Linked DNA regions of Oryctolagus cuniculus. The protein of the gene in region 5 purifies or fractionates together with the protein of the main gene of each other region. This does not show direct contact. Links are inferred from orthologs where the notes say so. Each region holds a gene or a part of one and is shown on either strand. Other genes may lie near its edges. The genes, in order: TRIM33, FOXO3, RUNX3, SMURF1, SMAD3, RNF111 and HIF1A.

Region 1 (4,160 bases), on a different chromosome or scaffold from region 5:
TTCCACTTACTTCTTCTCCCAGCTCAAAAACAAAGGTGGAGAAATGAAGAGAACGTATGGGACTATATTCTCTCATACATAAATTTCAGAAAGCCAATTTCATAACCTCAGTTCCTCAACCAACACAATTTGCATCTTGAGTTCCCTCTAAATTGCTCACCTAATCCAGGTTCCCACAAGGACACTGAATCCCACGTGTCTTATTATGCTCATGGGACCACGACCAGCTATCCTCTCTACACCTATTACCACTTAGTGTCTCCTCCATTAAACACAGATCTTTTTTCTTAACATTCTTATCTGCATGTCCCAATAACAGCTCAAACCCAGAAGTGAAGGTATTATATCCTCTCTCCACTACAGACACCTGCTTCTGTGCCTGAATTCTTTGCTTGCACTAACAGCACTGTCAGCAAACAAGAAACCTAGAACTCGGTCTACACACCAATCTCAGTTAGCCCCTCCATCTCCATTACTAACAATAAACTAGCAGCCATTTCACTAGTAACTACTGTATATGAGTCACTTTACATATCTTATTTCACTTCATTTTCTCAATAATCCCATGAGCAATATACTTTTTGTCCCTGTTCACAAATGAGAAAACTGAGGTGAAGAAAAGTTAATCTGTCCAAGTTCTAAGTAGAAAGTGGCGAAGAAGACACCTGAACTCATTTTGATGTCTCCCTGACATCAAAATGCTTCCTTCTGTAATGCCTGGCATCAGACCTCTCCTACCCAATCCAAATGACAATTTCCAATCTAGGTTGCTGCCAAGGTTCCCCTAACTGGCCTCCCTGCATTCTTTCATCTCTCAACGACTTCAGGTGATCTTTGTAGATCACAAATCTGACTTTACCCTTTGGATAGAGAAGTCCTTTGGGAACGCCTTGTACAGGAGACACTGCACAGGACACATCCCAACCCCTCAGTACTGTGCCAAATTTGCATACCTGCTTAGAAACTTCACTTCTGTCACATGTTTACAACAAAGTCCACCACGTTATTGTGATATTCGTGTGATTCAATGAAGAAACTTTCAAGTGCTCAATAATGAACTGTTATTCCAGAATCCCACCACTGCTGGAGTACTACATAAAAGACATAGTACATAAAAGACCTTACCAAGAAAAATTCCCAAATACTGTATTCTGAAGTCCAAAACACATCTTGTCCCAAGAGTTGCTGGAAAAGGATGTGGAACTCCTTATCCACGCAGCTGATCAATGCAATCTACTGTCCACCAGAGGTCTTGCACAAGGTGGACGCACCTTGTACCCTCGATCCCCTCCACCCAGTGAGGCAGGCAATCACCCTTCAGGAAACCTGCTCCAGGCCTTCCTTTCCTGGGAAGTTTCCCTGACTTTCCCTCCATTTCGCCACAGCCATGATAGTGAGCGCCCACCTCCACTGCTGCAGGCTACAGTTTCCCCTGTTAAGACTGGGAAGGGGGTCCTAAGCCAGCATCACATCCAGTCCCAGCAGCACCCAGAACGCTAGGGGTTCCTTAATGTACAATGAACTGAAACAAATGCATGCCCAGCTCTATCTGACCCTCAATCTCAGTCCAAGTTCATTTCTGCTCATCCCCAAACCTTACTCTTGTCCCTAACCATGCAGGTCCCTCACTGCTATTCTCATCTCCTGAGATGCTCCTTCCCAATGCCATCTTAAAATTCTTTTCCATCAAGAGCCTTCTCTTGGCTCCAAGTTTCCCAACGTCTTTTAGCCGCTTGCATTTAAACCGCAGTCCTCTTTGCTCCAAACCGGGCAACGGGCCACGTCCCCTCCCTCCAGTGCAATCCATCCTCACAGCCCTCCTCTCTTTACCTACTCCACCACCACCACCACCTCTCCCGGGCCGGGCGCCCGTCCACCCTGAACGCTGGCTCTGCTGTCCGGGTCCAGCTTGCACATCCCAAACCTCCTTCGCTGTGTCCCCTCCCCCCAACCCCGTCTCACAGCCGGCTCCCTCCCTTCATCCCCCTCCTTATCTCTCGCGGTCCAGCTTCTCTGGAAACTGTCCCAGGGGCCGTGTCTTTCACTTCGCCCACCCCTCAGGATCGCGCAGGTCCGGGCAGCCCCGAGCCCCAGCACTTCGGTCCCCAGATCCTCCTGGGCTCCGCAAATGCCCCGCGGCCCAGACGTCGGGCCGGGCCTCCGGCTCACCTTGCTGGATGTCGCCGTTGCTGCCCCCCGGGATGGGCACGCTGAGCTGGCGCTCCGGCTCCGGCAGGCAGCGCAGGCAGAAGGAGTGAAGACAGGGCAGCAGCTTGGGCTCCGCCTCACGCCGGCTCTGCAGGCTCTGCTGACACACGGCGCAGGTGTCCAGAAGCGAGGCTGGCGGTCCAAGAGGCGGCCCCGCCGAGGGACCCGGAGCAGGGGCTGAGGCTGGAGCTGGGGCCGGCGTCGATACGGTCCCCCCGGGAGCTCCAGAGCCCACTGAGGCTGCAGGAGCCGAGGCAGCCTGAGCCGAGCCCGAGGAGGCCGCGGCCACCCCCCCGTCGTCGGGCCCGGCCGCGCCGCCCTCCGCGCCGGCCCTGCTGCCTTCCTCCTCCTCCTCCTCCACCAGCACCGCGGCGAGAGGCGGCTCCGCCTCCTGCGCCGCGGGCCCGGCGGCCCCGGCAGTTACCGGCGCGCTGCCGCTGCCCCCGCCGCCGCTCTCAGCCTCGCCGCCGCCTTTGTTTTCCGCCATGTTTTCCTCTTTGAACCCGCCGGACCGCCCCGCGCCGCCCGCCGCCCGCGTCGCCGCCGCCGCCGCCCCCAGCCCCAGCCGCAGCGAGAACGGCCGCCGAGAGCGAGCAGGCGAGCGAACCAACGAGAGCGCGCGCGCACGCGGCGCCCCCGCCCTCGCGTCGCGCGGCTGAAGAGGGCGGGCGCGGCGCGCGCACGTACGCACGGACGTCCTCTGGAGGGAGGCGGGAACTCGGGGCGCGGGCGCGGGCGCGGAGTCGTCCGCGACGCTCGTCCAGACGTCTGGGGCTGGGGCGTTGCGTCAGTGCCGCGGACCTTTAGCGCAACAGGCGCTAGCCTTTAAAAGCCAGAGGCCGTGGCAACCTGTCGGCCTTTGGCGGATCGTGCTGCTGAGTTTGGCCTCAGCTGTGGTGCGGAACGAGGGGCGGACTAAGCTGGACGGGTCGGAGGCCGCGGCTGTGGCTGCCCCAGCGAGCGTCTCCTCCGAAGCTTCTGCAGCGTGATCGGACGCCAGGGCCTCGCGGTTCTTGGTGCTGTGCGAGGCACCTTCTGCTGTTTGTGGCTCAGGGGAGCAGTAAGCCGAGTCTTTGGTTTTTTTAACCGGAGGTCTACCAGAAATAGGCTGAAAAGACCCGGTGAGGAAGAGACTCACTGTGCGGCTAATTTCCACTACTTAGTGTGATTCCGGGACGTTGCTACGTAGCCGAAAACCGGTCACCTCAGGAGCTTTTTGAAAAGCCACACCTCAGCCCAGAGTCCGGAAGTGGGGCAGAGGGCTGATTCTGATGCGCCTCAGGTTGCGGAGCCAAGATCTCACCTCCAGTGTGGTGGCCTCTGAGAGTCCCACTTAGTGTCCTGGGTGAGCCCGGTGACAAATGCCCTCCAGGTAGAAGCTTTCAGAAAGGGTTGGCCTTTTATTTGGGAAACAAGTGTTTCTGCAGAGCAGTGGCTGTTTGGGCGTGAGACGCTTGCACTTCTTTGGTCTTTATCTCTTGAGCTGGTCTAAGTCCCTAAACCATGTGCAAGCCTTGTTTATTTACTCACTCCAGAAGACTCGCCTCTATTAGGTGTCAGTGTTTTAGATACCCTGCGATTACAGCAGAGAGCAAAAGAGGCTCTCCCTGCCTTTAAAAGAGTTCACGAGCTAATGGTGCAAGGTTTGGAATAAACGAGGGTACTTCAGAAAGCTCTTGAGAAATGTGTATTATGAGAAAACCATGTGTGGATTGGAAATTTTTTGCACTAAACTGTCGCAGTTTCATTTTCCATGAACTTAAATTTTAAGTACCCTGATAACATGCGAGGTAAATGCCAGGAAGAAAAAGCAACTGGAGCAAAATAGAGATTGAGGGAGGCCTGTTGATAAGATGAAGGAGTCTCTCTTGCAGAACAGTGTTCAAAGTAGAGGAACAAATAGTGCAAAGGGCATGAGGCAAACGTATCCTTAGCTTATCAGAACAGCAACG
Region 2 (4,235 bases), on a different chromosome or scaffold from region 5:
TTCGGGAGGCGCCTGCCAAGAGCAGGCGGCCGGGGTATCAGCAGCCCTGCAGGGGCAGAGGAGTTAATCTCTTCGGATGCCTAACTGCAGGAAGTCATTACATCATAGGCCTTTCCACACCTCTCCTTACCACGTGTCCGGTGCCCCGAGAGGCAGAAAAGGAGCAGTAGGAAGCCTCTCTTCAGGTTCGGTTATAGGTAGAAGCCATTATGGCCCAGCCCTGCCACCAAACCCTCCTCCCGCCCCACAGCTTAGGTGAATCGCAGGCACCTGGAGCTCGGGGCCTGCGCGGGAGCCGCAGGTGCGGGGGCCCCCCACCCCACCCCGCGCTGAGGCGGCAATGCGGACCGTTCCAGGCCCCACGACATTTCAGAGGGGACATCGCCCACGGACAACGCGAGCCGACCAGGCAAAGGTCTGCAATCACTACTTCTTCTAATGGGATCGATGCGTCCGTGGGAGTTAACACCTCCAAGCCTGGGGTTCGCAGGCAACTAGTGACAAATACACCGCGCGTTCCCACACACATGCAACCACGCATCCCCGCGCCAAGTCGCAAACGTTCCCCTGCGCCCCTACACCCCACTACGGCGAACTCCACGCCGAAGCCGGCCGCGCACCTACCTTCTCCGTGTCGTCCCTGGAATCCAGCAAGCGCACTCCCCGTCTGACCCTCCTCCGCCAACCGCCCCGCGACTCCCGCCCCCGCCCCAACCCCGCCGGGACCGAGGCTTCCCCGGGAGCCTCCTGCGTCCCCTCTGCGGCAGAGCGCGGGTTCCCCTCCGCCGGAGGCGGCGGTCTGAGAAAACTCCCAGGGCCTCAGTACAGCGGCTCCCCGGGGCCAAGCCCTCAGCCCGGCGGATCCCGCCGCCAGCCCCGGGTGGGTACGCACCTTCCAACCGGCGGAGCTGTTGCTGTCGCCCTTATCCTTGAAGTAGGGCACACAGCGCACCATCCACTCATAGATCTGGGACAGAGTGAGCCGCTTGTCCGGGGAGCTCTGGATGGCATGAGTGATCAGATCGGCGTAGGACAGGTTCCCCCAGGCGTTCCGGCGCGAGGAGCATTTCCTCGGCTGCCCTGAGCCCCCAGCCGCCCCCGGCTGCAGCGGTGGCAGCGGCTGCTGAGGCTGCAGCGGAGTCTGCGTCCCCCCGCTCAGCGCGCCCGCCGCGGGCGCTGGCCCGGGCCCGAGGTCCTGCCCTCCGGCAGCCAGCAGGCGGGCCGAATCCTCCAGGAGCAGCCCGGAGCCCAGCGCGCCGCTCCCGCCGCCGCCGCCGCCGCCGATCGCCATGGCCGAGCCAGCCCGGCCGCCGCCGTCCTCGTCGTCTTCATCGTCGTCCTCCTCGGGGATCATGGAGTCGGCGGCCGTCTCCCCCGAGGGCTTGGCCGGGCTCGCCTGGAGCTCCGGCCTCTGCAGGGGCCAAGTGCAGGAACGCGGTCGGCTCTGGGGCTCGAACTCCGGGTCCAGCTCCACTTCGAGCGGAGAGAGCGGGGCCGGGGAGGCCGGCGCCTCTGCCATCTTCGGCGCCCGCCCGCCCGCCCGCGGCTCGGGCTCTCGCGCTCTCCTCTCGCGCCGGGGCGGGGTGCGGCGGGGGAGGGCCGGGGCGCCGCCGCCGCCGCCGCCTGAGGAAGCACGAGAGGAGACAGAGGGGGAGTTGGTTATCCCGGGCGGGAGCCCGCCGCCGCCGCCGCACCCGCCACCCGGGAACAGGCAGACCTGGAGACGTGCGTCCCGCGAACCTGGCGCAGCAGACGCCGCCCCCTGGCCAGGCCGCTGGGGAGACGCGAGCGAATGGCCGGCCGCGCACGGGGCAGCCCCCTCCCCCGCCGCCGCCCGATCTGCGGGTCTCTCCCGGGCTAGGTGGCGGGGCGGGGGAGGGGCGGGGGCCGGGCCGGGGGAGGGGCGCGCCGCGCCTTTAAAGCGGGCCGCGGCCGGAGCTGGCGCAGCCGAGCCGCGGTCGGAGCCGGAGCGGGCGTGCGTTTGTTTATGTTTCGCTCCGGCCCCGCTCAAGTGCCTCCCGCGGCGGCGGCGCCGCCAAAGTCTGTGGCGTCTTCCGCGCTCCGCTCCCGTTCCCCTGCCCTGCCGCCTCCGCGACTCCCTGCCGCCGCCCGCCCGGCCCCGTGGCCCGAGCCCCTACTCCCTTCTTCGCCCTGGGGCCGGGAGGGCGACTGGGGGAGCCGGGGTCTGGGCGCAGGCGGGCCTTGCCACTTCCAAGATAGGGGGTAAAAAAAAAAAAAAAACGGAAAGAAGGGGGACAGGCAACACCCGCGGGTGCTCTCCGGGGGTCCAGCCAGGCGGGAACGGCCACTTCGGGGTTCGGGTGGTTTATTCTCCCGGGGGACGCCGTGCCCTCCGCCCGCTGCCCGGGTCGGGGACGCAGGGAGGGGGCGAGGCGCAGCGTAAATCTTCCAACAGGTCGGGAAGCGCCAAGTCTCCCGGGCGGCCAGAAAGCTCGGGCCAGCGCGTTCATCACCTCCTTGCTCCCGCTGCTGCCATCTTGACAGTTTCCCCCCTTCCCTCAAGTCCTTTAAAAAACACTAGCGGGAGCGAAGGGGGGCGCGCACACCGAGGGGAAAACGGGAAGCGCCTGGCCCCGCTCGGAAGCAGATCCGGAGTCACCGGGAAGGCGGCCGCCCCGCTGCACAGCTCCGGCGCCTACCTCGGTTCCTTCCCTTCAGGGACGAGGCGGGAGGACGCACAATCCCGCGCGGGCCCGGGGCACGGCGAGGAGGGGGCGCGCCACCCGGGCGAAGGAGAGGCGCTCGGGCCGCCGCCGCAGCCCGCCCGAGGAACCGCCTGTCAGCCTGCGCGCCGCAGCCGCCGCCGCCGCCTTCCACATTCCTCCTCCTCCCTTCCACGAGCAGGGCGGCCGCGGCAGCAGCACAAAGTTATAGACACACGCAGGGAGCCTCAACCTAGGCTGACGGCGGGCGGGCGGACGGGTCCCCGCCCAGGGGGAGGGCCGGGGCGGGGGCCGCGGGCGCTCCGGCGTGTGCGCGCGCGCGCGCGCGTGTGTGGGGGTGTGTGTGAGAGGGATCGCGCGCGCCTGCGCGTGGGCGCCGGGGCGTGCGCGCGCGTGCTCCGCGGGCCGGGGAGCCGAGGGCTTCCGCCGCTGGCCCTGCCGGGCGCCGCGACAACAAAGCGCGGCGTTGGCTCGCCTGAGGCGGGAGAGGGGAAGGCGCGCGGAGCCACGGACGCCCCGCAGAACCGGGCGAAGTCCCGGCCACCGTGGGGAGTGGGGTGGCGGGGTCCCTGGCCTGCGCGCGCGTCCTCCCGCCGGGCTCTGGTGTCGGATCCCGCAGCGTTAGAACCGGACGCCAGGTAACATCCGAGAGAAGGTGCTGACCGCGGAGGGCCGGGGTCGCCTCGGCGTGGACGTTGCTGTCTGCGACACTTTGATAGATGCGTCCGATTCGATCAGGCTCCCAGGGTTTGCCCTGGGTCCCCCCCCGTGTGGACGCTGAACTACAATCGTCTCCCTTTTTCGTGGATTTCATAGCAGACGGGGGGGGGGGGTGCTTTAACTGAGGAAGAAAATCAAATTATCCCCCGGTTCTCGACGAAAGAGAAGCCTCCGAACAACCGAGAAGGGGGAGCAATTTTATTCTGATTTCACGGCAAAACTTCCAGTTGCGCACTTCTGACGTCTATTTTGGCTTTAGGCGTAACAGAATACCTCCACAAGTCCTCATCCCGTGATGCCTGCCCCAAATCGCTCGTTTATGCCCTAAGAATGCACAACACGCCACATGCACGCCAAACGCCTGTCCGCTTCGGTTCACAAATAGCTTGCTGGGAAAATTGCAGTCGCCGGAGCGCCCGCGTTTCGCTGTGTGGCTGCGGCCTCCGCCACACCAGCCGGTGCACGGGAACGTCCAGCCCGGGTTCCGCCGGAGTCCGCCCACCCCGCCGGCTCCGGGCTCCGGGCTTTGCGCAGCGCCCGTCACTCAAGTGACGCGCGGCCCCGCCCCTGCGCCAAGCTAGTTCGACGCGTACAAACAGATGATGTCATCGTCTCCACACGCGCGTGACCCCGGAGCGCTGCGCCGCGTCGCCATTCGCTGCGCCGCTGACTCGTCAAGGCACGCCGCGCGCTGAGTGGCCGCGGGGGCCAGTCTCCAGGCCCCCCGACGCCCCTCTCGGCTCGCCATCCGTCCTGCCCCCGCCCCCGGCAAATAATAAACAATCGAGTAAAAATTCTAAGAAGTGCGGAGATAAAGAGAGGGTGGCCCCC
Region 3 (4,114 bases), on a different chromosome or scaffold from region 5:
CACCAAGCAGCTCCTATGAAGGGACACATGGCCACCGGATCATAGAAGCGCTTTCTTTCCGAGTTTGATAATGGCATTCCCACAGATGTGCTTTTCTTTATAATCCTTTGTGGGTTTTTTTTTTTTTTTTTTTTTTTTGCATTTAAAAATTTGACTCCAAGATGTACAAAGTCTGAAGGCTTTTAGATTCACCTCCCAGCGGGGTGAGGACCCTGGGTGGGCGTGTAGAATTGGGGCCCTGCGGAGTGTACCCTCAGGCTGGACTTCTCTGGGGATAAAACCGGCAGCTGGGACCTGGTGGGATTTGGGAGCAGAACTGGGCAGGAGAGGGCTCAGCGTGGTGGACGGAGCTGTTCCGCGGAAGCACAGGGAACCCTCGGTCCCCAGACCCCAGACCCAGACCCAGACCCAGACCCAGACCCAGACCCAGACCCAGACCTCCCCGCCACCCAGGCTTCTGCACCTGAGGCACCTGCGGGGCAGCGATCAGGCCGCTGTGCGCGCCGTGGGCCAGAGCAGCCGACTGCCCCTCCCTCTCCTTTGGTGCCACCTCCGTGGCCCCGGGAGCCCTTCAGCCCCATCTCCCAGGGTTCCTTTGTTTTAAACCCTGCATTTCTCCATCGTGCTCACGGAGGGAGAAGCGTAGATTACAAAGACGCAGCAAATGGTTTTTATAAACTCTTATTTTCTTGCCACAGAACTGCCTTTAATTAGCTCCGAGGACTACAAAGGGAACACGTATAATAGCAGCAGCTTGAAGGCAGGAGCCCACGGCCCCGGTCCCAGACGGGCCGCCTGTCACCAGCCCCAGCCAGGTTTGGTGGGAGCACCCCCATGTCGGGGACGGCGGCCTCCCGCCCCCACCTCAGTCTCTGCCCGCCCAGACCCCACCGGCCCCTACTCCAGCCCAGCCTCGGCGAAGCCTCTGGACGACAAAGACCCACATGGGCGTCGGGCCCTGCCCAGAGCTGGCCGCCAAGTGCTTCCTCTGAGTCACCCTGGGAGCCGGCAGCAGGGGGACAGATGGACAGAAGTGCAGACGGACAGTCGGGCCGGCTTCCGTGCCCCGTTGACCACCTCGGCGGAGGGAGGACAGCCACTGCTCCCGAGCCCAGGAGTTCTAGAAAGCCTTCAACTCTCATCTGGCAGAGAACTGGTCCCTTTGAGCAACCCAAAAGCCCAGCCCCCGTCTGCAGCCCAGCCTCAGCCTTAGGACCTCACTCAGGGCTCAGAGAGGTTAAGGAATTTGCTATGGTTGCTCAGCAAAGTGGCTACTGTGCTGTGGGACACTCAGCTCAGGGGACGCTCAGGCCCCATCTGGGCTTCTGCTGGGGACGACAGAGGCGGCTTAGGAGGCTGCCTGAGGCCAAGGCCCATCCACCCTGAGGGCCAGACCGGCAGCAAGAGGCCCCTATGAGGTCCAGCCTCAACCAAGTGGAGAATCGGGGACACAGCCCAGACCTCAGGGTCCCTCCAAGCCACGGATGGATGCAAGCACCCCAAGAAACACTCTCTCTCCCCCATGCCTGGGCTCACAAGGCTCCCCAGGCCTGCCCCCCACCCCCGAGGCAAGCCAAGGCGGCACAAATTCTGCCCCGAATCCAGCAGCTCCCCTCCTCCTGCCGCCCCCCCTCACCCGGGGACGCCGCCAGGGAAGGCCGCCGGGGGCCCACGGTGCTGCCCGGCCTCCACCTGCCTCCCACGGCTCTGCCTGAGCCCAGGTGCAGGGGCCACACTCCGGCAGGCTGGGGGCTGGGCTGCGGGGCCCCCAGAGCCCCACGAGAGAAGCAGGAAGCCGGGCTCTCCCTCCACCCTGCACCCTCCAAGAGCTGGCTGGGGGAGCTGCTGCCCGTGGCCCACTGTCCCCACAGGCTGCGGATAGAAGTCCCACTCCGGGAGACCACGGAGGCCACTGGCTCCTCTTCCCCGCAGGCTCCCCGAGGCTTGCAGGGTCAGGTAGCCAGGCCACGTCCTTGGGCCAGGGTCTGGGTGGTGGCCGCGGCTCCCCACCCGCGAGGGCCAGCCGGGGCCCGGGCACGCGTTACTCACCGCGGATGAAGGCCGGCGAGTAGGCGGGGAAGGAGTCGAAGATGCTGTTGGAGGCCATGCCCCGCTCTGCAGCCGCTTCAGGGGCTCGGCTGGGGCCGGGCTGGGCTGGCCTTGTTAGAGTTTTTTTTTCCTGACTACTTTGGAGAATGAAGGGGGGGTGTTGGTTTTGTTGTTTGTTTTGTTGTTTTGTCTCTTTTTTTCCCCCTGCTGCTACGAAAAAGAAAAAAGGAAAGAACGCGAGAGTGTGTGTGAGTGAGCGAGAGAGAGAGAGAGAGAGAGAGAGAGGAGAAGAAAAAAAATCCCCCAGGAAAGCAGAGTTTCTGTTTGTACCCAAGAATCTGGATCCCTGGTCCCACAGGAATGTCTACCCACAAATTCTCAACAGCAGTTGTGTGCAGTGTATCATTAGATGGCGGGAAGGGGCGCTCGGCAGCCAGGGCGGAGGAGGCAGCGAGGCCCCGCACCAGCGCCACGGGGAATGAATGAATGAGGCTTACCCTCGACGGAGCCCAGGCTCCAGCCGGTGCGAGGGCGGCCGGGGGGTGGGGACGACCGGAGCCAACCAGCTCCCGCGCAGGGCCCTGGAGGCGGCCGAGGGCCTGGCCTTGTGGTTCTGTGGTCGAGGGACCAGGCCTTCCCAGTGTCAACCCAAGCCCGGCACACAGGATGCCAGCAGCCAGCTCGCGGCCTTGGCCCATTGGCTGGGGCGCGGTCACCTGGGCCGTGACGTCATGGCCTCTTAGAAGATCTTGTGGCTGCCTTTCTCTGCCTTTTGGAGAGAGAGAGAGGAGACAGAGAGAGAGAGAGGGAGAGAGAGAGGCAGGCAGTGGCTTTTATTTGTGGGACTGGCCTCAGCACGCGGCCCAGAAGCAGAACTGAAAGCGGTTGGAGTGGGGGCGGCCGGGGCGGCGGTTTGGACCCAGTGTGGGAGACTCCTTCTTAATTAAGGCCAGCGTTGGCCTGGGCGGGCCGGGAGCCCCGCCGGCCCCTCACCGGGCGCCGGGAGCCGGGTGCCGCCGCGGGCGCGGGGCTCACACCCTGCCATTGTCCTGCACCGCCTCGGCCAGGCAGAGGCGGCCACATGTGTGGCTCAGTGGCACTTCAGGGGGTTTTATGGGAGCTGGGATTACGTACAAATGGGAAACACATGAGGCGGCACCGCCAGCCCTCGTGCCCGGCAGAAGCCCCGCCTGCGAAGGCGGTGGCGCAGTGGTGCCAGGAGGCCAGGCCTGAGCAGGGCTCTGAGGCCCCGGCTTGTCAGTCCGGCCCACCTGAGCCCACCTGAGCCGCCCCAGGGTCCTTGGCACCACCCCAATGCCCGGGGGTCTCCTCGCCTCCTTGCCCAGTGCCTCCGGCTGAATCTTTCACATCCCAGAATCGTCCCGGCTCACAGCGGCTCAGGAGTAGGAGAGTGGAGGGCGGCTGCTCAGCCGTGCACACTGTGTGCCCGGGGCCAGCTAAGGCTTGGGGCTGGGGGCTGGGGAGGACAGAGAGGGCTTTTTCCGTTTCCCTGGTGAGCTCTACTCTCCCATTTCACAGGCTGAGGCACTGAGGCCCAGGGAGGTGCGGTCGGCTGGGCTAAGGTCACATGGGGCTGGATTGGAACGCCAGCCTCCCACTGGCCAGCCGTGACGTTGCAGCTCACGTCCGAGACTTCGGGAAGTGCCCCCTGCAGCCTGGGCACCACCCCGGCCCCTCCCAGCACCAGCCCTCCACCCTTGGACACACGATGGCCTCTGTAGGCCAAACAGGAGCGGGGGGGTATGGGGAGGAGCAGGGGGCTTGTCCGAGGTCACAGAGCCCCGCTTGTGGCGAACGAATGAGAAGCCCTCCACTGGGGGTGGCTCCTGGTGCTGGGGCGGGGGCAGGGGGTTCTAATTCGGCCGGGGAGGAAGCAGGTTTGTGGTGAAAACCACAGGGCTCTGGAGTCTGATTTGGGCTCCAGCCCCAGCTCCGCTCAATCCGAGCCTCGAGGCCTTGGAGCGAGTCACTTCCCTCCTCCTCGTCTCGGTTTCCTTTCCTGTAAAACAGGGATAACACCTTGGTTGACGGGGCGGGTGCCAGG
Region 4 (4,142 bases), on a different chromosome or scaffold from region 5:
TGCTCATTCATCCTGGGAGGCAGCCGGGCCCCTGCTGGGGAGGCGGCTCCAGGCTTCAGCCTAGCCCATCCCGAGCTGTTGCAGGCACTCGGGAAAGTGCATCAGCGCCATCTCTCCCTCTCTCACTCCCTTCCTCTCCACTTTTCAAGGGGGATGAAAACAAACATTTTTATTTCCATTTTTAAAAAGGACATTCTTCTGTCTAGACCAGATTTCCAGAGCAGTTCAGCATATTACCCACAAGTGTTTTTTGTTGTTAAAAAAAAGTCCCACAGGAAAAAACACTCATAAACAATACATAATATGAATGGGAGGCATAAATCAGACTCAAGTGCCATGCTGGAACACGGATTTCTGAATACCAGGATTGCGAACAGAAAGGATACATGCCCAACCACGACGTGAAATCAGTAGACAGACTGACAGAGCCTGTGAAAAGGAGATGAAGGACGTCCCAATGGCCGGAGCCTCGCGGGCCCAGGGAGGTGAAAGTGTTCCCTGTCTCCAACCACACATTCCCCCGCTCGGAGTCCAAGGCTCTAGTCACCACCAGATACGGCTGTGGGCCCAACCGTTCCAAATGCTCCCTTCTAGTTCCAGCGTCTTCCTTGTCTTTCCAATGAATTGCACTCTGTGTGGCACTCGCAGACTGGTTAGAATACCCTCCATTGTGAAAAGTCATTATGTTCAAATATCAAACACGGAAATGAGATCTTTGAAACCCATAACTTAATTACTCAACTCTTTGAAAGATCATTGTTATCCACAAATGCCATTAGCAAGATTTCAAATTCCCCTGAAAACCATAAAGACCAGACCAAAATCTATTCCATCTTCAACTAAACACCAAGTTCCAGCATTTCCACCCAAGGTAAGGCTAGGAAGATGACCAGCACCACTACACCCTTCTGCTGCGAGGGAGACCACACTCAAACCGCTGGACACCCGGTGTTCCCGAGAGCCCCCACCCACCAACGCCGCCCCGGAGCACGTCTGTACGTGGCACGCCTCGTTCCTGAGCCCAGCCACAGCCTGGGAGGAGAAACCAGGGTCCCGGCCCGGCCGGATTCACACACGCGCACCTGACACACCTGCCTCTGAAACACCATCTCCACCCAACTCCCCAAATCAATCCCTCTGCTGTTTAACAGAACGAACCACTGCGATGCCAATGGCAGATCACGTTGCAGACCAGAACCAAGCGGGAGTGGCCAGGGACTGCGACTGTCTGCCACCACCGAGGTGGCAAGGTGCGCGCTGCCTCCACGCGGGACAGGTGCTCCCTCTCGCCCCCCGCGCCGGCGGGTGCACCTGCTTGTCCACAGAGCCAGGGTCAGCGTTGGGCCTAACCGTTCCCTGATCTTACGCCGCTGTGCGAATGTTTCTAAACTCAAACCAGAAAGAGGGCTAGTGCCAACCACTCTGAACTTTTCAAAGTAAAACTGACTTTTGAGGGGGGAAGAAAAATCACCCATTGTCGTTTTCGCGGATTTGACCGACGACAGCTGGGCCTCAAAAGCGGGCGTTCCGACCCCTGAGCCCCGACCCGGGGGTCCTCGCACAGAGACCCGCGGGCCCACGCCGGCGGGGACCCCACTCCGCAGGGCCGGGGTCCGGGAAGCCCCGCAGGGTGCGGACAGACGCCGGGGGCCGGCGACGGAGGGAGGCGTCCACGCCCCCGCGCCCCCCGAGCCGCCGCCGCCGGGCGAGGACACAGCGGGAGGAACGGCGGAGCCCGCGCCGCGGCCGGGTGGGCGCGCGGGCAGCGGGGGTCAAGTGCAATGCAGCGGAACCGGGGCGGGGGGGGGGGACCTAGGCGGGCGCAGGCCGCGGCCCGGGCAGACGGCCGCCGTCGCAGGACCTGGCGGGAAGTGAGAAAGAACCGGGGGACCCGGCTGAGGACCCGAGGCTCCAGGAAGAAAAGGGTGGAGGCCGGGAGACCCCAGCGAGGGGGCGGGGCCAGCACAAAATGCGGGGCGGGGGGCGGGACCGGGGGAGAAGGCAGGCGGTGGGGGGGTGAGGAAGGGGCTGGGATCCAGGGGGAGGGGGAGGAGGGGAGAGAAGGTGGAGGAGGGGGCGAGAAACGGGCGCTGGGGGCCAGGGGACAGGGACAGAAAGGCCGGGCTGCGGCCGGGCCGGGGGTGGGCGGCGAGGGGACAGGTGGGGGCAGACGCCGGGGGCGCCGAGCCCGGCGGGCGCGGGGCCCGGGGAGTCGGGGGGCGCGCGGAGGGGGCGGGGCCGGGCCGCGGCGAGGGGGCGGGGCCGGCCGGGAGCGGCGAGGGGCGCACGCCGGGGGGGCGGGGGGAGACGAGGTCCTGGGACAACGGCCGGCGTGGGGGAGGGCGCCCCCGAGGGGGCTCCGGGGGCCCGAGGGGGCGCCCGCGGCGCGGGTGGGCCTCCCGCCCGCCCTACCTGTCAGACGGATCTTGATGCTGGAGCCGCTTCTGCGCGTCCCGGGGTTCGACATCTCCCGCCGACGATCGGGCAGCCGCGGATCCAGCGCCGCCGCCGCCCCCCGACCCGGCCCGGCCCGGCCCCGCCGCCGCCGCCGCCTCAAGGTTACGGCTCCGGGCTGGGCGCCGGGGTCCGAGCCGGGACACAAACTCCGCGGCCCAGGCGTCCGGGCGGCGGAGCCCAGGGGATCGGCGCTCGCCCCGGCGCCCGGACCCTCGTGGCTCCCACCGAGCCCAGTCCTGAGTCGCCGCCGCCGCCGCCTCCACCACCTCGGAGCCGGACGCCTGCCGCCCTCGCCGCTTCCGCCGCCGCCGCCGCCTCCCGGAGCCGCGCGCGCGCCCGCCGCCGTGCGGGCCCGGCCCTGCGCGCGCCCGCCGCCGTGCGCCCCCGCGCCTGTGTGCGTGCGCGCGCCCGCGGTACGTCGGGGGCGGGGCACGCCGCCGCCGCCAGCCCGCTCGCTCCTCGGGCGCGCGCCGGGCCTGCAGCCCGTGGGCCGGGGGCTTCTCGCTTCTTCCTGCTCCCGCGGCGCCCGAGGGGATCTGCGGATGCGGACGCTGAGGTGGGGAGAAGGGGCGTCCCCGGGTGTCGCGCTCCGGGCTCCGTCCTCCTGACGAGCTGTTGAGAGCCGCGGGCTGGCGACCCGGTTTGTTGGGAGAGGCCGGGGGAGAGACTTGGCGCGGAGGCGGCGTCTGCGCCCCGTGGCCCCATCGCGGAGTGGCCGGCGCCGCGCGTGGGGACAGGAGAGGGGTGGACTGTGCCCACGGTCTGCCCAGACACCGCAGCGGCCCCGGGGCCGCCTTCTCCCCTTGCTTCCCGAGTGGCCGATTCCACTAAGGAATCCTTAGCCTGTTCTCCGGCCGTTACCGCGTCCGGGGGGAGGACACACGATTTTGTCCCGAGGAAAAGCAGGCTTTGTTTTTTTTTCTCTCCTGTTTTTGACCCGCCTCCTGTGCACGAATTTGCCACCAGGCCTGGATCGCGTCCGGGTGCCCAGCAGCGCGGGCCCTGGGCCTTTGCTGAGGTCGCGCCCCTCGGGGAGGCCGGGAGCACCTGCACGCGCCTGCCTGGCTGGCTGGCTCGCTCCCGGGCTGGACGCAAGGGCTCCGGGCTCGGCACCTGCCCTGGACCGTGCCTGTGGCCCCGCGCAGCCGAGACTGTGAGTGATCCTGGTGACAAGTGCAGGAATCCAAGCTGTGTCCAAAGCAGGGGACCAGGACCCAGCCATGTTCCCGTTCGCAGACACCTTTTAGGGTCTCCAGGGATCCCCACTCTAATGTCCGGCGGGTCAGCGTGCCCCCAACCCCACTCCTGTCCATTGATGGTTTCCTCAACACGCCCATCGGGTGGTCTCTGGAAACCACTTCTCACTAACAAGTGGCTGCGCTTGTCACTTAACCGCTTACACGCACCTGCCGAGAGCACCTTGGGCCACCTACTGTGTGCCTGGGAACAAGACACAAAAGAAATCCATCACGTTTCAGCATCCCAGAGGCTCAGTTCCCTGGGCGATCCAGATCAGCTGATGAGGAGCTGGTGATAGGCGTGTGTGCAGAAGGCTAAGACACACATGATAGAACCGTCCTGCTGGAGGAGAGAGCTAGGGGGCCATCTCAGAAGGGAGAAGACCTTGACCTAGGGTGTAACGAAAGGCAGTGTGCAAGTTCACTGGGCAAAGAAGTGGGGAAGGG
Region 5 (3,216 bases):
ACCTGCCCAAACACGCACTTCCTGGAGTAAGACAGGACTTCCATAGGAAATCCCTTTACTTTTCCTGGTATAAGTCCATGCAAAAAAGGTGAGATACGTCATTTCATCCAAAAAAAAAAAAAAAAAAAACCAGCAGCAAAGAAGAAAGTACCAATTGCAGGTGACGATTCCGTCTGCTGTATTCTGCAAAAGGCCCGTGAAAGAAGAGGGCCCCTTTTTCCAGTTGAAATAGTTTGTGCTCGTGGGCTCACCCGGCGTAGCTGCCAGTGTCATCACCAGGGCCGCCTGCAGTCTCCAAAGGCGCAGAACCACTGTGCGCGGCCTTCGCACCGGCCCGTGGGCCTGCGAGGTTCCCCTTCCGGCATGTTTGCTCCCGGAAGTGTCAGCTTCCAGAAACGCTGGCGGCTGCCTCCTTGGGAAGCCGGGAAACACTTCACCTTGGGACGGTTGTTGGAGGAGCCCTCTCTTAGCTCCCAGTAATGCGTCAACCCAGGGTGTCGTGTCGTGTTTTTCCTAATCCGGAGCAGACATTTAAAAGAGCATACAATAAAGTTGATTTAATTAACACGATGGACTGCATGAACCAGTGCACGCTCTTAAAGGCGGGAGACACAGTCCGGGGCCGCCGCAGCCCACACGCCACCTGCCTCCTGCTGCGTGTGAACACCTGACGTCGTTCGAATCTCTTTGAGACTGATGCGATAATAGAAACCATACATTGCGTTCGCACGGGGCCTCAGCAGATCCTTCCAACTTTTCGAAGTGAGAAAGGACACATTTTAAGAGTTTTGAAAGAGGAGGTGGCGCTTTCGCCACTGTCACGTGTGCAGTGCTGAACACACAGCCATCAGTATGCTCTGAGAGTGGATGGAGCTGCCCAAGCCCCCTGCCCGTCCAGCCTCTCAAGGCACAGGGCCTGCAGGACAGGAGGCTTGGCTGGGAGCCCCGGAGAAGAGGCAGGAAGTCTGCCCGTGGCCAGGCAGGCTTTGCCCCCTACCTAGAACATCCTTCGGAGGTGAACTTGACACAGCGGTCCCAGACAGAGGGGGCACCTCCTGTTGAGCCGGGACATCCCACGTTGCTATCATGAAGAGAAGGAAGCGGCAGGGGAGGGGCAGGTGGTGAAATCCCACCCACTCACTCCAGGCCCCCAGAGCAGACACCATCCTCGTCCTCGAAGCAGGGCCAAAGGGCAGTCGGTGCGTTCAGCAGACGCAGCCCTTCGGAAGTGCTGCTCCTGTGCTCACCTCTGTTTTAGAAAACAGGCTGGTGCCACCGGAGGGAGAAAAAGTCCTTCTTCCTTGACAATAATCAATGGATCAGAGTTCGAATATTCGCGCCCTCCTCACGGTCACTGCCCCAGCGCAGCCCCTCCCCCTCCCCGCCCACACCTCTAGGACACACTGGAACAGCGGATGCTGGGGGAGCCCATCTGGGTGAGGACCTTGTCCAGCCACTGCAAAGGCCCATTCAGGTGCAGCTCGATCCAGCAGGGGGTGCTGGTCACTGTCTGTCTCCTGCAAGAAACAAGGCAGGGTTGCAGGTAGGGGACGTTTAAAAACGTCCAGGAGGAAACACAGGCAAGTCACAACACCCTCCTCTGTGACAGTCTTCCCCCCCAAAGCCAGCTACACCGTAACCTGGCTCCATGCTGCCCTAGAGGAGGTCCCAACCATCCGCTGAAACTAGCAGGGCCAAGGTCCCTGAGCAGATCCCGAGCCGGGGAATGGGGGGAGGGAGGTGGCCCGAAAGAGGTAAATGTGAAGTCAAGGCCAGGGCACCCCCAAGGCCCCGCAGTGGAAGCCCTCCAGGCCAGCTCCTGTGTGTCCCAGGTGGGCACCAGCGGCTCCAGACACAGGCCCGGCCCGGCCCGGCCCGCCGTGGTGATGCGTGTCTGTCTGGCGGAGGGGCGTTCCGAGCAACGCACCGACAGCGCACATGCCTTCCGCTCCCCATGTGCTGATACAATTCCCATCTACGGCCTTATTTTGGAAAATCTTCCGAGCAGAGCGAGCCATGGAACAATTACTGGAAAAAACCGAGGCGCACCCCAAAGCACTCCGTCTCAATTCAGGCTGGCGGATGACGCAGCCCGCAGGCCGGCTCCCCGAGGCTATCTGCTGAGGCCGCGGTGGCCCGTGCCAGCTGGAGGTGAGAGCAGCGGGCCTGGGCCCTGCCCTCGGCCTCCTCGCACAGACAAGGGCTGAAACCCTACTCCCCTTGGCCCGAGACGCAGGAGGGCGGCAAGACTCTTCCGGGAAGGGGCCGCGCCTGCCCGTCGGGCTGCCGTGCGGCACTGCCAGGCGGCGGTGACGCGGTGGGCTGCGAGCACGGCGTGTGCTGGCCCGGCGGCCTGCCGGGGAGGGCGTCTGCCGCCGAGGAGCCCCTTGGGGCACGCAGGGCTGGACGGCCGCAACGCCGCACTGGGCCGGGCACTGCCTGCCTGGCCTGGCCTAAGCACCCCTGCCCGCTGACGGCCCTGCAGGGGTCCACCTGATGGAAGGGACCATGCGTGGCCCCTTGGGCTACAGTCCGGGTGTGAGAAGAGTGAGCAAATGGACTTCCCCTGGCTCTTCTCCACGGAGGGCCGCCTTTAAGTATTTCCCTTTCCCTGTCTTCTCCAAAAAAAAAAAAAAAAAAAAAAACTAACGCTAATCTTCCACTCTTGTTCCCTACCTGGTCCGTGCCAGGGCTAAAAGGTCAGTTTGGGTGCTTCCCGGCTGGCCCGCTGGGCCTGGGCTAATCTCTGCAGCCGTCAGAAGACGGCCGCCAGTTCTGAGGTCTGACCGCCATGCCGGCTCCACGGATCACCGGTGCTGGGTTTCAGCAAGACCCCGGAGACCACGCCACTGCGCTCCCCAGCCCCGCGGGGCAGCCCCGAGCACGGCAGCCCAAACACGAGGAGGACGACCGTGCGGGGCGAAAGCCTCTAATGAGAATCCGACTTTCCATAAGTCACGCTCATCTGGATCTCATTATGAACGGTGGCCCCGCGCCAACACTGAAATGGGTTTGGCCTGGGTGCAGAGTGACTGCAAAACAAAATGGGAGTCCAAACATCTGGAAAAATGAAGGGGAGAGTAACTCGCACGGCGCTGGCTCCAGCTGACGTGCGGGTACCGCAGCGTCTGCCGCAGGCACAGGCCGGGAGGGGGGCGGGAGGGGCCCACGGCCCTGCTGCCCAGGGGCACTCTTGTTCACCTGGGCTCTGCTCTG
Region 6 (3,589 bases), about 8.0 Mb from region 5:
GGTGCAGGGGCCCAAGGACTTGGGCCATCCTCCACTGCTTTCCCAGGCCATAGCAGAGAGCTGGATTGGAAGAGGAGCAGCCAGGACTATAACCGGCGCCCATATGGGATGCCAGTGCTTCAGGCCAGGGCTTTAACTCGCTGTGCCACAACGCTGGCTCCAGTATTATTGTTTTTAAGGTTAAAATTTTAGCTGTGTTAGCAAGAAAGGTATTCTTCAGTTTGCACAAACAACTCAATTTAAAAATTGACAAAGGACAGGGCCGGTGCTGTGGCCCGGGAGAGAGTGGAGGATGGCCCAAATGCTTGGGCCCCTGCACCCGCATAGGAGACCAGGAAGCAGCACCTGGCTCCTGGCTTCGGATCGGCGTGGCGTGCCAGCCGTAGCGTCCATTTAGGGAGTGAACAAATGGAAGAAGACCTTTTTCTCTGTCTCTCTCACTAACTCTGTCATATAAATAAATTTAAAAAAAACCATAATGGAAGATCTTGTGATATTTTGCAATTTTTAAAATCAATTTTTGTTGGTACCTAATAATTTGTGATGGGAAAGATAATCACCATTACACATTCTGGTAAATATGAGCCTTTTGAAAAATTTAGACTTTGAGGAAAATCCCAGTAAATACAACTACTCAAAATTATGTATAGGTTAAGAATGTGCTGTTAGTATCACATTCTTATTTACACAGACTTGATTTTATTAAACATTTCTTTTTTTTTTTTTTTTTTTTAAGATTTATTTATTTATATGAAAGTCAGAGTTACAGAGAGAGAGAGAGAGGTCTTCCATCCGCTGGTGTACTCCCCAATTAGTCACAATAGCTGGAGCTGCGCTGATCCAAAGCCAGGGCCAAAAGCTTCTTCCGGGTTTCCCATGAGGGTGCAGGGGCCTAAGGACTTGTGCCATCTTCTACTGCTTTCCCAGGGCATAGCAGAGAGCTGGATCGGAAATGGAGCAGCTGGGACTTGAACCGGCACCCATATGGGATGCTGGCACTGCAGGCAGTGGCTTTATGCACTATGCCACAGCACTGGACCCTAAACATTTCTTAATTCTCTGTTTATTTACTGACAGTTTTATAGAGATCTTTGATGATCTAATTATTTGCCTTTTTTTTTTTTTTTCCTGTTTCAAGATGACTCAAGGAGAACTGCTTCTAGTTCTGTAACGGAAACTGGCCCTCCTGCTATGCCGAGATTACCTTCCTGCTGTCCTCAACACTCACCATGTGGAGGATCATCACAGAATCACCATGCATTAGGACATCCACACACAAGTTGCTTTCAGCAGCATGGTCATCATTTTCAACATCACCACCACCACCATCATACTCCCCACCCAGCTGTTCCAGTTTCTCCTTCTTTTGCTGATCCTACTTGCCCTGTGGAAAGACCTCCACAAGTACAAGCACCTTGTGGAACAAATAGTAGCTCTGGTACCAGCTACCATGACCAGGTATGGGAATTTGAGGAGAGTCAGTTATTCTTCTCTCCCCTTCTCCTTTAATTGTGATAACTTATGGGAACCAGGGTGGGTTGCCAGTGATAAATTTTATTAAGTCTTCAAGATTTTCAGATGGTCTAAATTATTGCAGTTCATTGATGAATTCAGAAATTTGGAAAATCAGGGATGCCACCTAATCTAAAAGTGACTTTTTTATTCTGGAATGAATCTTGGTGTTTTCGGTTAATATTATAGGATTATAGGTGATTCTGATCTTTGGGATGTTATTTTAAACAAAATGTTGAATCTACGGTGTTAGTCTAATTCAGAGAAACTGAAAAATTATCAGTTTTTCCCTTCTAACTCCTACTTGGAGTTCACTATAACTTCCACTTATCTAGAAATATGCGACCTTCATGGATGCAAAACTGAGGCATAGCTTTTCAGGAGCAGATAAGGTTTTCAATTTATGGAGAATTGAAATGTCAGCAAAAAAATTATAAATAAATAAGTTAGTTGATATTGGTGAGTAATAAGATGCCAATAATATTAAATTAGCAATCATGATCATGCTGAGTAACTTTTTGATATGTTGTTCTGTTTATAATCATGATATAAGCCTGAGTGTTATATACCTTCAAAATCAAAAGATGTAATTTCAGGGACAAATTGTAACTTTGACATATGTACTAGAAAAGAATCCTGGAAAAAAGTCAGAATGAAAATTCAGAACATGTGCTCTTCTGTATCACCTGACCTTTCCTGAAGTTCTTGTTTTATCTTTTAACATTTTGGCGGTTATCTCTTCTGGATCAGACAAATTGAAAATAAGAAAGAGGGGTGTTTCCTTAAATGCAAAGTTTGCTATTATCAAGAGCAAATTTGAAAGGATTTAGTAGAAAATATGGTTAAAAAGATTTTAGATGTTATTTTGGTTCTGGGAATACCTTTAGGTATTATCTGTATTTTTTCTACCTCTTGGAAATGAATTAACATCAAAGAAAACTTACATGAACTGAATGAAAGGCTCTGCTTAAATGTAATACATCCTTTTACTCCATATTTATAGTGAAAGGGGACTTTGTAAAGATAGTAGGAAAACGGTGGAGAAGTAGGTCTCCTAGCTCCTCCTACATTCATTAAAGAGCTTCCAAAAGCTTGGCCTGTGACTCATAGGATATTCTGTTGTATTAATAAAATAATGCAGCAGGTTTTAAGAGATCAGTTGAACATATATTTTTTCAACCCAAATCATTAATTATAGATAAAATCTCTTAAAGTTTTTTTTTTTTTTTTTTTTTTAATTTATCTGAAAGGCAGAGTTAGAGGGACAGAAAGAGATCTTTCTTCTATCCATTGGTTTACTCCCCAAATGGTTGCAAACCAAAGCCTGGAACTCATCCTGGCCTCCCACATGGGTGGCAGAGGCCCAAGCCATCTTCTGCTGCTTTCCTAGGTGCTTTAACAGGGAGTGGAGCAGCCAGGACTCAAACTGACACTCATATGGGATGCCATCATTGCAGGTGGTGGTTTAATCTGCTGTGCCATAGCACTGGCTCCCCTTATATAAGCTCTGTTTGTTGTAAAATGAATATAACCATTTCCCCATCTATAATTAGAGGCATTTGGACTTTAAACAAAATTTGAGAACAGTGAGATCCTAGGCATTCAGTATTGGTAATGGGCATGAAGATGAATATAAAGTGAGATTTTTTTTTTGAAGATTTATTTTATTTATTTGAAAGAGTTAGAAAGGTTGAGCTAGAGAGAGAAAGAGGTCAGTCTTCCATCCACTGGTTCGCTCCCCAAATGTTTGCGACGGCCAGAGCTAAGCTGATCCAAAGGCAGAAGCCAGGAGTTTCTTCCAGGTTTCCTACATGGGTGCAGGGGCCCAGGGACTTGGGCCATCTTCTGCTTTCCCAGAAGAGAGTTGGATCGGAAATGGAGCAGCTGCGACTCGAACTGGTGCCCACATGGGATGCCAGCCCTTCAGGCTGGGGCTTTAACGCACTGTGCCACAGCACCTGCCTCTAGAGTAAGATTTTGAAGATAACAGTTTGAGATTCAAATAGATGTCTGGCCGGTGCCGCGGCTCACTAGGCTAATCCTCCGCCTGTGGCGCCGGCATCCCGGGTTCTAGTCT
Region 7 (4,140 bases), on a different chromosome or scaffold from region 5:
TGTGGAGCTCAAAATATGTTTTTTTTTTTTTTAAAGACTTGAGAGGCTTGAAATGTATGGTTCTAAAGACAAAAAAGTGCTTAAGTTTTGTTCCGTAACTCGCAGTCCTGTCAGCAAACAGGCAGTGCTAGCCAGCACCGTCGTGCCCGGTTCCTTCCAACCCGGCGGGCTCTGGCCCATGCCCCGGAGGCAGCCTGGGTTCCGGACTCGGTCTACACCGCGAACGCAACTCAAGGAGACTCTTCTGAATCCACGCAAGATCGTCTTGCAAAAGCGCTAAGAAAGCACAAAGAAAAGTGTGCCTAAAGCCATTTTTCCGACCCTCCCTGAAATGCAGGTTTATATATTCTCGCTTCTGAAAGCCGTTTCTACAGTAACTTCACACCTTCCTTCCTCGGAGAGAGGCGTGCAACAACGGGTCTGTGAGGTTTTCCCTGGCATTAACTTAAACAAGTTCGCGACAGAACGCCTCAGGGGCCCCGCGGGGTCCCCCGTGCCGTGCGGCAGAGCGCGGGCAGCCTGGCAGGAAGGCCGCGCCGCAACGCGTCCGAGCGGGGAGACCCGGGGGGCTCGCGCCCAAGCCGCCAGGGCTGCGCTTTCCCACAGGGAACTCGGCTACGCCGCCTGAGGGGAGCGCGGGAGCGGGAAAACGTGATGCAACCTCGGGCCCGGGCAGCCGCCAACTCCCCTCAGCAGCGCCTCCCGCAAGCCCGCCGCCGCCGTCCCCAGCGGCAGGCGCTGGGTGCCCCCTAGTCCCGGCGCAGACGCACCCCCCAACGCCTTTCTCTCCGCCCCGGCCGCACACAGACGGGCACGTGAGCGCCGCGGCGCGTCCCAGCTGTGCCTCAGCTGAGCGCCTCCGGATTGGCTGAGAGCGACGTGGGCTGGGGTGGGCACTGGCCGCCTGCGTCGCTCGCCATTGGCTCCCGAGCAGCCCGCCTCCCCCTCAGGTGAGGCGGGCCTGCGGGGGCGCGCGCGCGCGCGCTGGGCTCGGCGGGCAGGCGAGGGGCGGGGGCGCGCGCTCCCGCCCCGCCCCTCCCCTCCCCGCGCGGCCGGGCGCGCCTCCGCCCTTGCCCGCCCCCTGCCCGCTGCCTCAGCTCCGCCGAGCGCAGAGCCGCCTCGTCTGAGGGGACGCGAGGACCGTCCTCGCTGCCGAGTGGGCCCAGCGCGTCGGGCCGGGCCGTGACAAGCAGCCTGCGCGGAGGCTCGCGCCGGACTCCGCGCTCGCCGCCCCGCTCTGCTCTGCGAGGAGCTTCCCGCCTCGCACCCCTCCCCCGCCGCCGCCCCCACCCGGACTTGCTCTGCTCTCTCCGCGTGTGCAGGGAGCCGGCGCTTAGGCCGGAGCGAGCCTGGGGGCCGCCGGCCGGGAAGGCATCGCGGAGACCGAATCGCCATGGAGGGCGCCGGCGGCGCGAACGACAAGAAAAAGTAAGCCCCTTCCCCGCCCGCCCGCCCGCCGGGCCGCGGCGCTCCCGGGGTGGGTCGCTGGGCGGGCGGGGGTCGCCCGGCCTTTTTTTTTGTTGTTTCTGCCTCCTCTCCCCTCCCCTCTCTTTCCCCCAACCTCGCCGGCCGGGCTCCCCCGCTGTCCACGTCGCCATCTTGTCGTGGGGGGTGGGAGACGCCTCGAAAGTGCTTCCAGGGGGCCGGGGGTCTGCACGCCGCCGCCGCCGCCGCCCCCAGCCGGGGCTGCGGGGGTCCTCGCGCCGCCCCCCGCGCCCGCCGCGGAGCCCCAGCCTTGCGGCGCGGCCCCGTCCGGAGGGGACTTCGCCCCAGCCTGGAAGCCGAGCCCGCAGCTCGGCGCCGCCGCTCGCACCCGGAGCTTCCGCTCCCTCCCGGTGGCGGGGAAGGCGCGGGCCGGGCGCCCCGCACGCTGGCCGCGGCTCGCCGGCGGGTGCGGGGCCCCGGCGGCCGCGGCTGGGCTGGCCCTTGCGGCGGTCCCGCCGCGGCGGGTGTCGCTGCCTTTGTGCCGTGGTGGGGGGATTGGCCGCGGCGGCCTTCGGATGCTAACTTTTTAGTTTGCACGTGCAGGTTTTGTTTTTCGTTTTGTTGTTTTAATCGGCTGGAAAAACTTGCCCAGACTTGGGAGTCGGAGTAACGGGAATTGGGGGGCACATCGCCAGGCTGTAGCGGGAACTTGGGAAGTGGAGACTTGGGATCCAGGGAGCCCAGACGATGAGCAGGAATCCGTGCCTCATTCATTCCCGAAAATATCTTGGTGAAAATGTAACGGGCGGCTTCGATTTAGGCAGACAGTGTCAGTGAGGTTGAAAAGCGAAGTAGATGACCGGAGCAAACGAAATGCAACACTAAAGTGTTGGAGGATTTTTTTTTTTTCAGAACTGTCTCGTTTTCCTGATATTTTAATATATTTGAAGGAAACCATCAGCACATATCCAGATTGTGTTGGGACTTAAAGCAAGTTTATTGAACAGCGTGAAGTGTAAGAGGGGTACATTATAGAAAGATTAAGAATGGTGGAACCCGTGGTATTTACAGTACCCCCCTCCCTATTTTCTCCACTTTGGTATTTTCACCGTTGAGGAAATTATTTTAAGGAATTGAGGATTTATATAGTAGGAGTAGTAACGTAGGCTGGCTTTACTGTTAAGTCCTTCCACTCTTATGGGAGAGATTAACTTCTCTAATCAGTATGAGCGGAAGATAAACTTGTTTATATCCTTGCTGTTTTGTAGATTCTTTATCTTGGTCCCTATTCAATAGAATGTAAAATTCTCAGTTTATATACACCGGGGAGAGAGCACTTACACAATTTAAAACATGAGCACACAAGTCTAGATTTAATTTCAAGAGTTAACCAGGAATTAATTGCAATTAATTTTGCAGAAGTGATTACAGTGTTTTTGATGAAATGAAGAGGCTGCTATATTGTAAACCAAAGGCAGATTACCTCTGTGTAGTGCCAATTTTCCGTCCTTATTATATACTGAATCATAGTTACCACAATGCATTAGGTTGTGTACCAGTCACTTCCTTTTTATATGTAATACTTTACTGATTTCTTCTTTGCTATTCTTCAGTTAATACCAGAAGCCACTGTAAAATAAGTGAGTGAATAAATTAGCAACTACTGCGCACCAGCCCCAGCGCTAAATGAATTCTTTGGTTTTCCCCATTCCCATTGTTATTTTCAAAATTTTCTCATTTGAAAACTTAACCACCTGGGATCGAATGTAGTCGTAACACTTAATATGGAGATTCTTAATATAACTGAAATTTTAAGTTAAACAGTAAATAGTGATTACTCAGCAACTTTTGGATGATGTTAATTAAAAATGCCCTTTCCTGACTAATATTTCTTCAAGTTTTTGAAAGGTAACAGATTGAGGTGGAGATTTTCTTCTTGGAATTTTCCCAGTTTTAGAGGAGGACAAGGCAGCTGAAAATCAGAATTGAAAGAAATCAGAGCAGAGTGGTGTGGTTGTAATAGATTTAACAGGGAGTTTCATGTTGATTCCTTAGTTGTAGGTGCTGGACTTACTGAGAGCACAAGGATAATAGGGGTTTTTAGATTCAAAAGGAATGGCAGGAGGTTCTGTTTTTAGGCTTCAGGTCAGGTTCCTTCAGAGTTTTCCAAAACAAATAATTACTGGAGCATTGTAGTGAAATCTCTGAGAATAAACATTTCTAAATTTTCTTTTTTAACCTTGGCCACTAAGAGTCATTTATTAGTAAACTTTTGTTGTTGCAGTTTGACTTGTTTATAACAGCAGCAGGGCTAGAGATGAAGAGTGTAGAAGCTGGAGGCCTGAATCTCTGAGTTAGAGTGCCAGCCTTTCCACTTGTGAATTGGGCAAGTCCTGAATGCGTCCATGCCTAACTTTTCCTTTTGATGATAAGAAGCAGCCATCTTAACAGTTAATATGTATGGGAAATGAGATCATGCATGTAGAACACTTAGCCCAGGGTCGGGAATGGGGGAGTCTTGGTAACAGTTTGTGTACTTCCTAGTAAATGTTACCTGTTTAAGCTTTAAGTTTGAACTTCCACCACCCTTAAAATGCTTTTTGTAAGTTCTTCCAAATATTTCTTTCAGTTTCTCTTCTGTCTTCATGCATCTTTTCTGTATCTCCAAAAAATGAAAAAACTAACATTCAATTTGGATCTTGAAAAGAGTTCTTT

What was found.
Region 1: the proteins of SMAD3 (region 5) and TRIM33 purify together in Homo sapiens (affinity purification with western blotting; 7 studies listed by BioGRID and IntAct, with this or other methods). This does not show direct contact. The link is inferred for Oryctolagus cuniculus from reciprocal best matches to the Homo sapiens genes SMAD3 and TRIM33.
Region 2: the proteins of SMAD3 (region 5) and FOXO3 purify together in Homo sapiens (affinity purification with western blotting; 3 studies listed by BioGRID and IntAct, with this or other methods). This does not show direct contact. The link is inferred for Oryctolagus cuniculus from reciprocal best matches to the Homo sapiens genes SMAD3 and FOXO3.
Region 3: the proteins of SMAD3 (region 5) and RUNX3 purify together in Homo sapiens (affinity purification with western blotting; 3 studies listed by BioGRID). This does not show direct contact. The link is inferred for Oryctolagus cuniculus from reciprocal best matches to the Homo sapiens genes SMAD3 and RUNX3.
Region 4: the proteins of SMAD3 (region 5) and SMURF1 purify together in Homo sapiens (affinity purification with western blotting; 3 studies listed by BioGRID). This does not show direct contact. The link is inferred for Oryctolagus cuniculus from reciprocal best matches to the Homo sapiens genes SMAD3 and SMURF1.
Region 6: the proteins of SMAD3 (region 5) and RNF111 purify together in Homo sapiens (affinity purification with western blotting; 5 studies listed by BioGRID). This does not show direct contact. The link is inferred for Oryctolagus cuniculus from reciprocal best matches to the Homo sapiens genes SMAD3 and RNF111.
Region 7: the proteins of SMAD3 (region 5) and HIF1A purify together in Homo sapiens (affinity purification with western blotting; 4 studies listed by BioGRID and IntAct, with this or other methods). This does not show direct contact. The link is inferred for Oryctolagus cuniculus from reciprocal best matches to the Homo sapiens genes SMAD3 and HIF1A.

What each region holds. Positions count from the first base shown.
Region 1 is NC_091438.1:55,852,118-55,856,277, reverse strand, and holds the start of TRIM33 (E3 ubiquitin-protein ligase TRIM33), read right to left. Parts: upstream 2,811-4,160; 5' UTR 2,696-2,810; coding exon 2,170-2,695; intron 1-2,169. UniProt on the Homo sapiens protein: Acts as an E3 ubiquitin-protein ligase. Promotes SMAD4 ubiquitination, nuclear exclusion and degradation via the ubiquitin proteasome pathway. According to PubMed:16751102, does not promote a decrease in the level of endogenous SMAD4.
Region 2 is NC_091436.1:62,843,978-62,848,212, forward strand, and holds the start of FOXO3 (forkhead box protein O3), read right to left. Parts: upstream 2,875-4,235; 5' UTR 2,661-2,874; intron 1,624-2,660; 5' UTR 1,520-1,623; coding exon 893-1,519; intron 1-892. UniProt on the Homo sapiens protein: Transcriptional activator that recognizes and binds to the DNA sequence 5'-[AG]TAAA[TC]A-3' and regulates different processes, such as apoptosis and autophagy.
Region 3 is NC_091438.1:146,263,836-146,267,949, reverse strand, and holds the start of RUNX3 (runt-related transcription factor 3), read right to left. Parts: upstream 2,822-4,114; 5' UTR 2,108-2,821; coding exon 2,050-2,107; intron 1-2,049. UniProt on the Homo sapiens protein: Forms the heterodimeric complex core-binding factor (CBF) with CBFB.
Region 4 is NC_091450.1:41,405,075-41,409,216, forward strand, and holds the start of SMURF1 (E3 ubiquitin-protein ligase SMURF1), read right to left. Parts: upstream 2,801-4,142; 5' UTR 2,468-2,800; coding exon 2,413-2,467; intron 1,756-2,412; exon of another isoform or gene 1,476-1,755; coding exon of another isoform or gene 1,448-1,475; intron 1,423-1,447; exon of another isoform or gene 1-1,422. UniProt on the Homo sapiens protein: E3 ubiquitin-protein ligase that acts as a negative regulator of BMP signaling pathway. Mediates ubiquitination and degradation of SMAD1 and SMAD5, 2 receptor-regulated SMADs specific for the BMP pathway.
Region 5 is NC_091443.1:89,967,368-89,970,583, reverse strand, and holds part of SMAD3 (mothers against decapentaplegic homolog 3), read right to left. Parts: intron 1,518-3,216; coding exon 1,394-1,517; 3' UTR 1-1,393. UniProt on the Homo sapiens protein: Receptor-regulated SMAD (R-SMAD) that is an intracellular signal transducer and transcriptional modulator activated by TGF-beta (transforming growth factor) and activin type 1 receptor kinases.
Region 6 is NC_091443.1:81,933,403-81,936,991, forward strand, and holds part of RNF111 (E3 ubiquitin-protein ligase Arkadia), read left to right. Parts: intron 1-1,138; coding exon 1,139-1,458; intron 1,459-3,589. UniProt on the Homo sapiens protein: E3 ubiquitin-protein ligase. Required for mesoderm patterning during embryonic development. Acts as an enhancer of the transcriptional responses of the SMAD2/SMAD3 effectors, which are activated downstream of BMP.
Region 7 is NC_091451.1:8,816,804-8,820,943, reverse strand, and holds the start of HIF1A (hypoxia-inducible factor 1-alpha), read left to right. Parts: upstream 1-1,294; 5' UTR 1,295-1,393; coding exon 1,394-1,428; intron 1,429-4,140.